Linked DNA regions of Kluyveromyces lactis. The protein of the gene in region 1 interacts with the protein of each later gene in a pairwise test. Links are inferred from orthologs where the notes say so. Each region holds a gene or a part of one and is shown on either strand. Other genes may lie near its edges. The genes, in order: UTP5, UTP4 and UTP9.

Region 1 (3,609 bases):
TTTGGTTTTGCAAGCTTCCCTGAAAAAACTATAATACTCTCGAACTTAATTCTGTGCTGCAAGTCAATATACCAAACAAGCACTTCACGTAGTAATCAATTAGATAATTGGATGAACTTGAGATGATAACAGATTGTAAACAAATTTAACAATGTCAACTTTTGTTTTTAAATGCCTGGTATTACACTTTTTTGTCCTCCTTGAACTCTAGATCTGAATTATGTATAATAATATATACTAAAAAAATACTCATCGCTATTTCATTCACTATGCAAAAAAATGATATGGCTCGCCAAATTGGCACATTTTTTGATGCTTTATATATAAAACTACGAATCAAACTAAGAAGAAAAGTTGAAAATAAAAAAAAAAAAATTAAAACAACAACACACATCGCACACATCGCATCACCTATGCAAACAAGGGACAATAAGGGAATTCTGATTGGAAAATATATATATATAGATGTATATTCAAATTAGCAACAGGACAGAGACATATAAGTGTTGACCTTGGTTGTTAGGCAGGAGCTCTTTCCTTACTTGACGTAAATTCTTTATGTTGTGTTAATCACCCAGCTTCCTCTCATCACAGTAGAAATGCTAACTAGTGTTTGTTAGGAGATATGAAGTGTATAACTTGAAAGCAGGAAGGCAATGTTTGGAGGTTGTAAAATAAGATTGCAAAAGCTGAGTTAACGAACTCAGCTCAGTGGATGTATCCTGAAGAAAAGCCTTAAATTGGGGACCACTGGCTATATGCTCCAAATCACGTGAACAATATATGCTAACTTCTTATTACCCGGCACTTGTTTTTTGTAAGTAAATCTCACTTTTCTTTCTCCTTTCCAAGCTAAAGCTTTTCATTTGAAACTTTTCATAGCTCATCTCATCGCATCTCATCTGAGCTCATCGCACAGTATTTACTTTTGTGTACTTACTTCTTTCCTAAAGTGTTTCGATAAAACGTCTTGGGATATTAATTGAACAATCACCGGCTTTCGTACTGTTTAAGCTAGAGGTCTACACTCTACCACACGAATAACAATAGCAAGCTTAACGATGGCAACAGCTTCGCCAGTCGTATTATCACAATATGATCCAACCGGACAATATTTTGCATACGTTTCCACCGCTTTGGATAAACAGCGGGTATCAGTGGAGCCAACAACTGCCTCCAAATCTGGTTTAGTGAACGATAATTTTCTCTATTTGGAGGGGAAAGACGTCTGCTGTACATGCATACAATGGATTACTTACAATGACACACCATTGGTAGTTCTGGGTCTAAACCTAGGGGAAATATGGCTATACTCTCCTTTATCGAATGAAATAGTGGCGAAACTGAACACAGGATCAAGCTTAGCAGTTTTAGATTTCCAACTCTTTTCAAGCAAGGACAAGGCCTGGTGTTTGACTGGTGATGATACTATTTTTTTATTCGACATGGTATCACAGAATGTATCAAAAAAATTCAAAATTGATGAATGTAAGGACTTAAAAAAGCTATGCATAGTTGATAGCAATCGTATTCTTGTCGCTTCTCATCAAATTTACTTAATCGATGTCATTTCAAAGAAATTGTTGTTACAATACCCTGGCCATATTTCACCTGTGTCTTTCCTTCAAGTGACCACAGATGGAACAGCATTTTTGAGTGCATCTCAGGACGATAGATTTTTGAATATTTATGATTTGGACACTACCAAGACTAAGTCCGTCCTAGTAGCGGACTCGAACGTTATATCAATTTCGATATCTGAGGATTGGTCTCACGTGTCGGCAACAACAGAAGATGGGGATATTGCTATCTTTGAAGAACCTTTGGTATCAATCAATTCAGGGAATAAGAGACGTTCTGGTAAGATATCCAAACAAAAAAACAAAACTATAACTTTATTAAGGTCTAATTCCGCAACCAGATTGCCTATTATCAAAAGTTTTATCAACAAAGATCTAATTAATTTTTCGTGGTTAGAAAATGCAACCACACCTTACTTTGATCAAGTTCAATTAGGTAACCTAACGGATTCAGTCACCACTTTATCCAAGCCATTGCCATCTGCTAAATCTACACAAACCAGGAACAACCAAAACAGTGATATTTCTTCGGCAAAGCTCTACAAAGAGGGTAATGCAACGGTAACATCTGGTGATAACTTTAAGCATGTGGAATCCATTGTCCAAAGTTTAGATGATATAGAAGGAGAAGGGATTTCAGAAACTTTACAGGATAGACTAAATATAATTTCACCACCATCGAGAAAACCAAAGGAAAGGAGAAGAGCCAACGCTGGTACTTCTTCTGTTGTATTAGCTCAAGCATTAAAATCAAATGATCATGCTCTATTGGAAACAGTCCTTAACACACGCGACGAAAAAGTCATTCAAGCAACCATAACCAGGTTATCCCCCCAACTTGCTACGATTCTCTTGGAAAGACTCGCTGAACGTATCGCCAGACAAACTCATAGACAAGGTGCTTTGAACGTGTGGGTGAAATGGTGCCTAATAATTCACGGGGGTTACTTAGTTACCATTCCAAATTTGATAAATTCATTGTCATCGCTACATGCTACTTTGAGGAAACGAGCAGATCTCTTACCAACACTCATGGCATTGGATACACGTATTACACGTTCATTAGATGAATTGAACAGTAAGAGAGCCGTACAATACGGCAAGGATCAACTTGATTCTGAACTTGTCGCTCCATATCAGGATGACGAGTCGAACCAAAATGAAGATGAAGAGGAAGAAGTGGAATATATAGAAGAGCTAGACGATGCTGGATTAATAGACGATGGTGAAGACAGTGCAGAGTACTCTGAAGATGATGACGAACACAGCGAGGCTGATAATCAGGAACTTACATACACTGAAGAAGGATTTGACGACGATGACGAAATGAGGGTCGACGTTGAAGAAGGATACTCTGACGAAGAAGTTCAGCATTAGCGTACATAAAAGAAAAAATATAAAACGCTAACGCATTGAAAAATGCAGCTGCTATGTATCGACTTAGACCTGACATTCTTCCTCCATGCAGCTTTAAGCTTGATTGATCATTATGGCCGGGTAATGGAAACATCGGAGTTTGACTCTGTCTGTAAATAATCTAATTAAAAAAAACAATTGTTTGCTAGTGATGCTCTCAGAATTCAATTTAATCCAGAACCAAACAAGTTAAAAATTTAAAGCGTGGAACATGGAAAATGTAGAAGCGTTTAATGAGGTGTTCTGTGTTGGTTTAGAACGTGCATTTTTGGTAGACGGTCTATCCGGCTCGGAAATCCCGTTCTCGTAAACAATTTTAGAATTTCTCTACTGGTTGCAAGCACGTAGGTTCGTCTCGCGGTACGGGAGTTGATCTTGTCCATGGGATCAGTATCTATCGTTTCGTTTTGTTTTTTTTTATATCTTTGACAGATAAAGTATAAATGTGTCGTGTATTCTTTCGGCTCATCTTCCATTTGAACATTCGTTGAGTGTTCTTTGATCAGTAAATCTTTGATATACTTATTTAAAGAAGTGGCAACCACAGGTTACCCAAGTTAAAGTATCTCATAGCTTTTTTGCTGCAGGCACAGAGCAGGAGAGTTTTTCTATT
Region 2 (3,760 bases), on another chromosome or scaffold:
AATCGATGATGTCACCGTCCAGGATGTTCAACCAGGTGAAGGCAACTAATTTTTTACAAGAATTTCTAACCGTTTCATCTCTATCTTCAAACCCCCAGGTCATCAGTTTCTCTAAAATATCAGAATCCACCTCATCGAACGTATGCTTCCCCAAACTCTTTAGTACTCTTGTAAACACCAATCTTCTATTGATGAAATTAACATCTCGTACCCGTTCCAAGATAACATTCTGGGTCGCTTTCGAACGTACAATATTCAACATTGCTGCCCTCCGAACTTCTGGACTTGGATCATTCCTAATGATATGCATTAAACTCTGTGTAGCTTCATCGAGTTGGAAATTTACTCCGGTTTCTGATTCATTAATCATCGATACGTTATCGTTTTGAAATTTTGTCAAACAAAATATCGCCTGTATCCTAACATGAGGTTCCTTGTCATACACCCTATGCTTCAAAACCCACATAATCAACTCGTACAATTCCTCATCAATTTCTCCCATATTATCCATAGTTGCGGCCAAAAGTTGCATTACTCTGTATCGTACGTTTTTATTTTTCGATTCCACTCCTCGAAGCAGATTCCTCACAAATCCATCAATAAATCCTCCGAAATGTACTTCCAAATTCCTCACATTTTGCTCATTACCATCTTCGGTTCTCATCTTGTTAAGATTCGACTCTATATTTGCGATGAACCCTGAAATCAACCGAACAATGCGATCCCCCACGATTTCCTGTTTCTTCAGCGGCAAGATTTTGACAGTCATTTTGATAAACCAATAATGAAACACATCTGATATCTCTTGCTCCACACATTTCAAATAAATCCTGTATAAGACAGCTACATGACGTCTGTGACCAGCATAACTCTTCTGCGCCACCTGGAAAACCTCCGCTATAGAATTCAGAACACGACGATTTGTAGGAGATTCTCCATCCTGAACATCCATATCAAACAATTGCACCCTTTTGGTCAATAATACCACGAGTATACACCAGGGAAAGGCTGCTATGAGGTTGCCGCCGATGTTTCTTCCACTTTCCTTTTCCTCTTTGTTTATTAGTTTGTTTATGTGAAGAGAAGATCCAATTGTAAACAAATCTCGTTTTCCCAATAGATCTAATATATCACGTGATATGATCATACTGTACGGTGTTGAAGCTAAACTAGTTTCTTTTTGAAAAATTTCAGCGTTAAGAGCACACAAGCTTAGAACAGAAGCTCATCTCATCGGATAACAAAGTCGTATATTTCTATCTAGTCAGTGAAGTTTTTTGATTGACATCAGCCTACAGTTTGTCAATCTTTTGTTTCATTCTAATACATTAGCTTTTGTTCTCTGATACAGGTTTAAGGTCCTCAATTTATAGAACACATTTGATCATGACTGATACTGGGAAGAAACAGGTAGTGCATCGATCCAGGTTTGTGCAGTTTACACCTGGTAATATAACGGCTCTTGCATTTTCACACAAAAGTACTGATAAAGCGGCACCGCAAGAGCTAAGACTGGCTATTGGTAGATCCAATGGTAATATTGAGATCTGGAATCCAAGAGATGATTGGGTACAAGAGTTCGTGATCTTGGGAGGTGAAGGAAGATCCATTGAAGGTCTTTCCTGGTGCAGTATTCGTGGAGAGCCTTTGAGACTATTTTCGATCGGTGGCTCCACTGTAGTTACAGAATGGGATTTGACAACCGGGTTGCCGTTAGTAAATTACGATTGTAACTCTGGTGTGATTTGGTCCATTGCAATGAGCAACGATATGAATAAGCTAGCGGTCGGATGTGATAACGGCAGTGTAGTACTTATTAACATCAGTGGTGGTAAAGGTGTTCTTGAGCATGAGAGCATACTTACAAGGCAAGAATCTCGTGTCTTATCGTTGACATGGACAGCCAATGATGAATCTTTGGTCGCTGGTTGTTCTGATGGAAGGATTAGAATATGGTATACTAAGGAGCAAGACGAAAACAAGGGAAGACTATTACATACTATGAAAGTGGATAAATCGAAGAAAGAATCTACACTCGTATGGTCTGTGTTGTATCTAGCTAAACAGAACCAAATTGTGTCTGGTGATTCTACTGGGTCGGTCAAATTCTGGGACTTAAACTACGCAACATTGACTCAATCTTTCAAGGTTCATGATGCCGATGTTCTATGTCTGGCTACTGATCTGGATAATTCACAATTGTTCACTAGTGGTGTTGATAGAAAGATTTTCCAATTCTCTTACATCGATACAGGAAAGAGCATGAAATGGATCAGTACTTCAAACAGATTATTCCATTCCAATGATGTTAGATCTATGTCCTCTTATCAATGTATGGGATCCGACTTCCTAGTGTCTGGTGGTATTGAAAAGTCTCTTGTCATGTGCTCAATGTCCTCTTTCGCTGAAGGAAATTATAGAAAGATGCCACTAGTTACCCCATTCCATAAGAGCATCCTGGTCAACAAACAACAAAGACTATTGGTGATGTGGCAGGATAATATCGTGAAGATATGGTATATTGGCGAAGACGTCAATGAGCCTAAGAACTACAAATTAGTTAGTAAATTGGTTTTGAAGGATGAACAAAACATCCAAACCTGTGCACTATCAACTGACGGACAAGTTTTATTAGTGGGAAGACTAAATACTACCAAAGTTTTCCATTTACAACCAACAGACAACAAATTGAAAGTAACAAAGTTGGACAATGAGTTTTTGTTGAGAACTGGTTGCAAATTTGCTAAGTTCATTGATGATTCTAGGTTAATAATGTGTTCACAATCTGATGAAATAGTTAGAATTGACCTTGAAGAGGATGACGACGAAAAAACCGTAACTATTGAGTTACCTGAAGCGAACTCAACGAAATCCAGCAATAAACTATCATATTTGAATGCAGTGAACCATTTAGATGCAAATGAACGTTACGCTGTTGCGTCTAGAGGTACCGGTGCTCTAGACTTAATAGATTTGACAACAAACAGTAGTAAAGCTTTAATTCGCATGAACAACTTCATCACTGCACTGTGCATCACACCAAGAGAGACTGTAGTAGTAGTGACATCAGAAAATAAAATATACGAGTTCAATTTGGAATCCGAGAAGGATCAACTACTCACTGACTGGTTCAAAGCCAATCATGAAAACCTCCCAAGGCAATTTACTTCCTTGAAAGAGAGATGCACAGGAATATTCTTAGATGAAATGGATGAGCATAAGGTATGGTTCTGGGGATCTAACTGGTTGGTTAACATCAACATGTCATTAGACTTGCCAGTTAGCAAAAGAAAGAAGCAAAAGAAGCGTGACCGTGACGGATTAACTATTTCCACTGACGGTCTACAGGCAGACGTCGATGAGGATGATGAAGACGATGAAGAACTCGAAGTTAAGGAAGATTATCTCTTAAAAACTCAGAGAGCGCAAGATGTCACCTCCAAGAAGAGATCTGATAAGGCGTTTTTCTATACCGATAAGTATAGACCTCTATTATTCGCTGGAAAGATCGCAAGTGACCAATTAATCATTGTGGAAAGACCAAACTTCTTGATCTCCCAACCTCCTGCATTTGAATTAGAAAAGTTAGTATTCTAATTTATAATTTCTGTACATTATTATAAACTCGATCTTCATCGCGAAATTGATTTTTAACATAGGGTCATCATTCCGCCGCATATCATCTGTGTAGTGTTCTTTCTGCTACCTTAATACCAATGAATGTCAAGAGCGAACTGCAAGCGAACATTTTATCAGACCA
Region 3 (3,599 bases), on another chromosome or scaffold:
ACCACCAGTAATAGCAATGATTACATCTGGTCTTTCACCTTTATTCATGATAGTTTTCGCTACATCTTGGCAAAGCTTATGAATATTATTGTACGAAATGTACATCTTGCTAGTATCAGCTCCAGAATCTTCCTGAGACATCTTTAAATTTCAGATAGGCTATCGACAATTTGGGTGGTTCGTATAGCGCTTGTCACTAACTATATTAGCGAAATGCAATGATACGAATACGCGAGGTGATAACTCAATGGTAATTCGGCTGAAGATGAGATACCAGTTCTTAAAAAGATGCGATGAGCTTTAAAACTTTTCGAAAAAAAAAAAAAGAAATCTTGTTATCTGAGATCAGCAAAGATTCCCATGTGATGAGATAAGCTACAACACAGCCAGTTGTAGCATAAGGATTTAGAACGTTATTCGCATAGGAATAGTGTAAATAGCGGCTCTAATAAGCGAGGGGAAAGTAAAGGTATTTGTATTTCCGCAATTCTTTGATGGTTTTTCTGGATGGAATTAGGATCTATATATGCGGTACTAGTTATAATGAAATACGTAGTATTGGTATCAACGGTTATTATTCGGAAGCGTCATTCAAATCATCAGCTTCTCCATTTTCATATACGAATTCTTGTTCGTCTTCCTGTTCTCTGTCTTGTATTTCATTAACGTCTTTGCCATTGATTTGCATGGATGCTAATTGTTTTCTCAAGAAAGATTGTCCGGAAAGCATTTCTAATTTACCTTGAATGGAAAGGAGAGTTGAGAGAGACTCCGAGCTGGTCCTTAAGGACGACCTTAGGCGTTTTGTCATTTTGTTTGTGTTTGAATTGATAACCTTGATTTGAGATCTACGAAGAGTTAATAGCCATTTGAGCCATACAGAGGCTTGGCCTGCTGAATCAACATTTGCTGATATATGTTGCGCAAGCACTTCAAACAACTTATTAGTACTGTCTTCGTTAAGATCATCTCTGACAAATAATTGGATGTTATTATCCGACCATGGTTGTTGTAAAAGAATTTCAAGAATTAATTCAGAATTCATATTGGCTTCTCCGAGAGCAGTGATTAGCTTCTGTACAGTTTCATTTTGTTCCTTTTTTGAAATTTTTCTATCAGATTCAGGTTCATCCTTGGCGACGATCTCGTCAGGGACCAGAGAAGCTTGTTTCTCGGTATCAACTAAATTGAACGCGAATTCATTTTGTTCATGCAGTTGAGATTCAGATATTACTTCGAACTTAGGCTCATTCACATCGATCCATGCTAGTACAATGTTATCATCTTTGATCTCAAAATCTAAAATTTCAGAGTTCTCGACTTTTATGCTTGCAAGCGGTTCTTCTGCATCTTTCAGTAAAACCTTCATTCTACCTGCAGTGTCCAATACTACGATATTATCATTAATTACTTTCACCTTCTCGGATTCAACATCCCATTGGCATAGTATTTTTTTCTCTGGTAAAGAGTAGAGGGAGACTTTTGATACATCGGCAATTACGACATGGTCTTGATCATATACTGTACATGAAATTGATCCGAAATTTTCAATCTTGCTGAACGTTGAAGGCCTTTTCTTAGATGGATCTACAAGATAAACGAACTCTTCTGTGATGACCGCCAGAAGTAGTTTTTGTGGGAAACTTAATACCTGGAAGTTGATGATATCTTCATTCTTACCATCCGTTAGATGGAACGTTTGTAACGGCTTTGTTGTAGCATAGTTGAACCTTTTCACAGTTTTATCGTCATCTAACAACCATATAACATCATCTTTCGAATCAATGCCTAGAATTTCTTTCTTGTTCTGTATGATATTAATGATCTCTTTACCATTAGCTGAATGCACAACAATCTTTCCACTAGGGAATACATTTATAAAATATTGCTCTAATGGAGAGTTCGCTATCTCTTCATCGGCTCTTCTTTTCACACTTCTCGTTTTACAGTTGTTCTCCGCGGAAGAATGGTTGCTACACCAGGTCAAAAGGTTCACTTCAGAGACTACTAAGTCATTGCTCTCATAATCAATTTGAAGAACCTGAGAACTGTTTATATGTAAGTTGCTCACGTCTTCTAGTGGATATAAGTCAATGGAGTTCTTTTGGGACCTATTGGATTGAAATGCGAAAAATGTTGCTCCTGGAGAGAAACTAGTAATGTAATCACCAGCTGAGTAACTAGATTCAACCATTCTATAAACTGGTTCAATATTTCTGTCGCTTCGCCTCAGAAGTTGCCGGTACTAATGGTAAAGTTACCTTTTGATCACATCGAACTCTTTACCTTCAATCTAGCTAGGCTATTAAGTGATGAGATGGATGGAAATTTTTCAGTAACGCCAGAAAAAGAAAAACTCTTACCCGGCTACAGGTAAATAGCAGCTGCTCGAATGGTCAGCACGTGAACTATTATGTCGGCGATGCAAAAGTAGATAAAGCTATATGTATATACATTCGAAATTAATACAACATTTGAATGACTGACAAGTCATTTCACCTTATGTTGTGTGCAAAGTTCTGAGAAAAGCTTGTTGGTCTTCTGAAGACATGCTACCAATGAAGTTTTGATACTTCTCTGGTTCAGTCTGCTCCAATCTTGAGAAAGTGTGTTGGAAAAGTTCATAGATGTTGACGTCATCGAGGATGGATCCAGATAATGGGTCTTCTTCAAGTTCATCCATATCATCTTGGTCAAGGAACTGGCCCGATTCATGGATTAGTTGTAGGCTTCCGGCTTCATTCTTCAAGAATTTTAGATATTCTTCAGCATCGCCAGCAGCATCTTCATCATCGTCTTCGAAGTCATTCCACTCATCGTTAAATCCATCAAACTTACTGAATGCATCACTTGAGAATTCTTGACGTTTATCCTGTAAGACCTTCAGTGCTGCAGGGAACTTGTTGAATAAATCATTCAACATTGGCCCCAATTTCAGATACACGGCCTCGATGTGTAACGAGACATACTCTTGCATGGGTACAAGTGTTAGAAGAGATAAGGTAGCCATGATCGACAACTTAATGTCAATGACTCTAGTAAACTTTGGGAGATAGAACTGGATCCAAATTTCAAGGAAAGTCGTAAGAAGCTGTTTGTGGTTTAGAAAGTTCAATGATTGTGATGGATAGTATACCATAGATGCTAGTATAACGTTGAATGCATTGACACCATAATTTAGATGAGTTTTCAAACTGTTTTTTTCCACTTCTATCGCTTCAGTTGTAGTAGTTAAAAATGTACTCAAAAATTGTTCTGGGATTTTGTCTCCGAATGCCAAAATCATCTTTTGTGCAAATTCAAACACGACGCACATTTCGTCTAGATCCTTGTCCTCGTTTTCATTTGCAGTAGCAGCTTGGAATATTTCAAATAGTATATTAGTGTAAAAAAGGTTTTGCTTCAATTCGTCCTTACCGTAAATTAAATAGTTAGAAATTGCCATCATAAAATCTTCCAAGTAGAAAGAAACCATACTGCCCTCTTTCCTATTGCAATCACCAATCAACTCTAACACTTTCCAAGAAATCGAAGAAACTTTACGCAGTAGAAATGTAGAATTCTCAACAAATTCACACACTTCACGGTAGAAATCTTCC

The links.
Region 2: the proteins of UTP5 (region 1) and UTP4 interact in binary tests that used the Saccharomyces cerevisiae proteins (3 or more experiments, as listed by UniProt). The link is inferred for Kluyveromyces lactis from reciprocal best matches to the Saccharomyces cerevisiae genes UTP5 and UTP4.
Region 3: the proteins of UTP5 (region 1) and UTP9 interact in binary tests that used the Saccharomyces cerevisiae proteins (3 or more experiments, as listed by UniProt). The link is inferred for Kluyveromyces lactis from reciprocal best matches to the Saccharomyces cerevisiae genes UTP5 and UTP9.

Annotation. Positions count from the first base shown.
Region 1 is NC_006039.1:579,288-582,896, forward strand, and holds UTP5 (Utp5p), read left to right. Parts: upstream 1-1,061; coding exon 1,062-2,957; downstream 2,958-3,609. UniProt on the Saccharomyces cerevisiae protein: Involved in nucleolar processing of pre-18S ribosomal RNA. Required for optimal pre-ribosomal RNA transcription by RNA polymerase I together with a subset of U3 proteins required for transcription (t-UTPs).
Region 2 is NC_006040.1:1,131,904-1,135,663, reverse strand, and holds UTP4 (small subunit rRNA maturation protein UTP4), read left to right. Parts: upstream 1-1,386; coding exon 1,387-3,597; downstream 3,598-3,760. Other genes in the region: condensin subunit YCG1, read right to left, coding at 1-1,147; KLLA0_D13200g (uncharacterized protein), read right to left, coding at 3,680-3,760. UniProt on the Saccharomyces cerevisiae protein: Involved in nucleolar processing of pre-18S ribosomal RNA. Required for optimal pre-ribosomal RNA transcription by RNA polymerase I together with a subset of U3 proteins required for transcription (t-UTPs).
Region 3 is NC_006038.1:376,605-380,203, forward strand, and holds UTP9 (Utp9p), read right to left. Parts: upstream 2,195-3,599; coding exon 575-2,194; downstream 1-574. Other genes in the region: XPT1 (xanthine phosphoribosyltransferase), read right to left, coding at 1-141; NMD5 (Nmd5p), read right to left, coding at 2,501-3,599. UniProt on the Saccharomyces cerevisiae protein: Involved in nucleolar processing of pre-18S ribosomal RNA. Required for optimal pre-ribosomal RNA transcription by RNA polymerase I together with a subset of U3 proteins required for transcription (t-UTPs).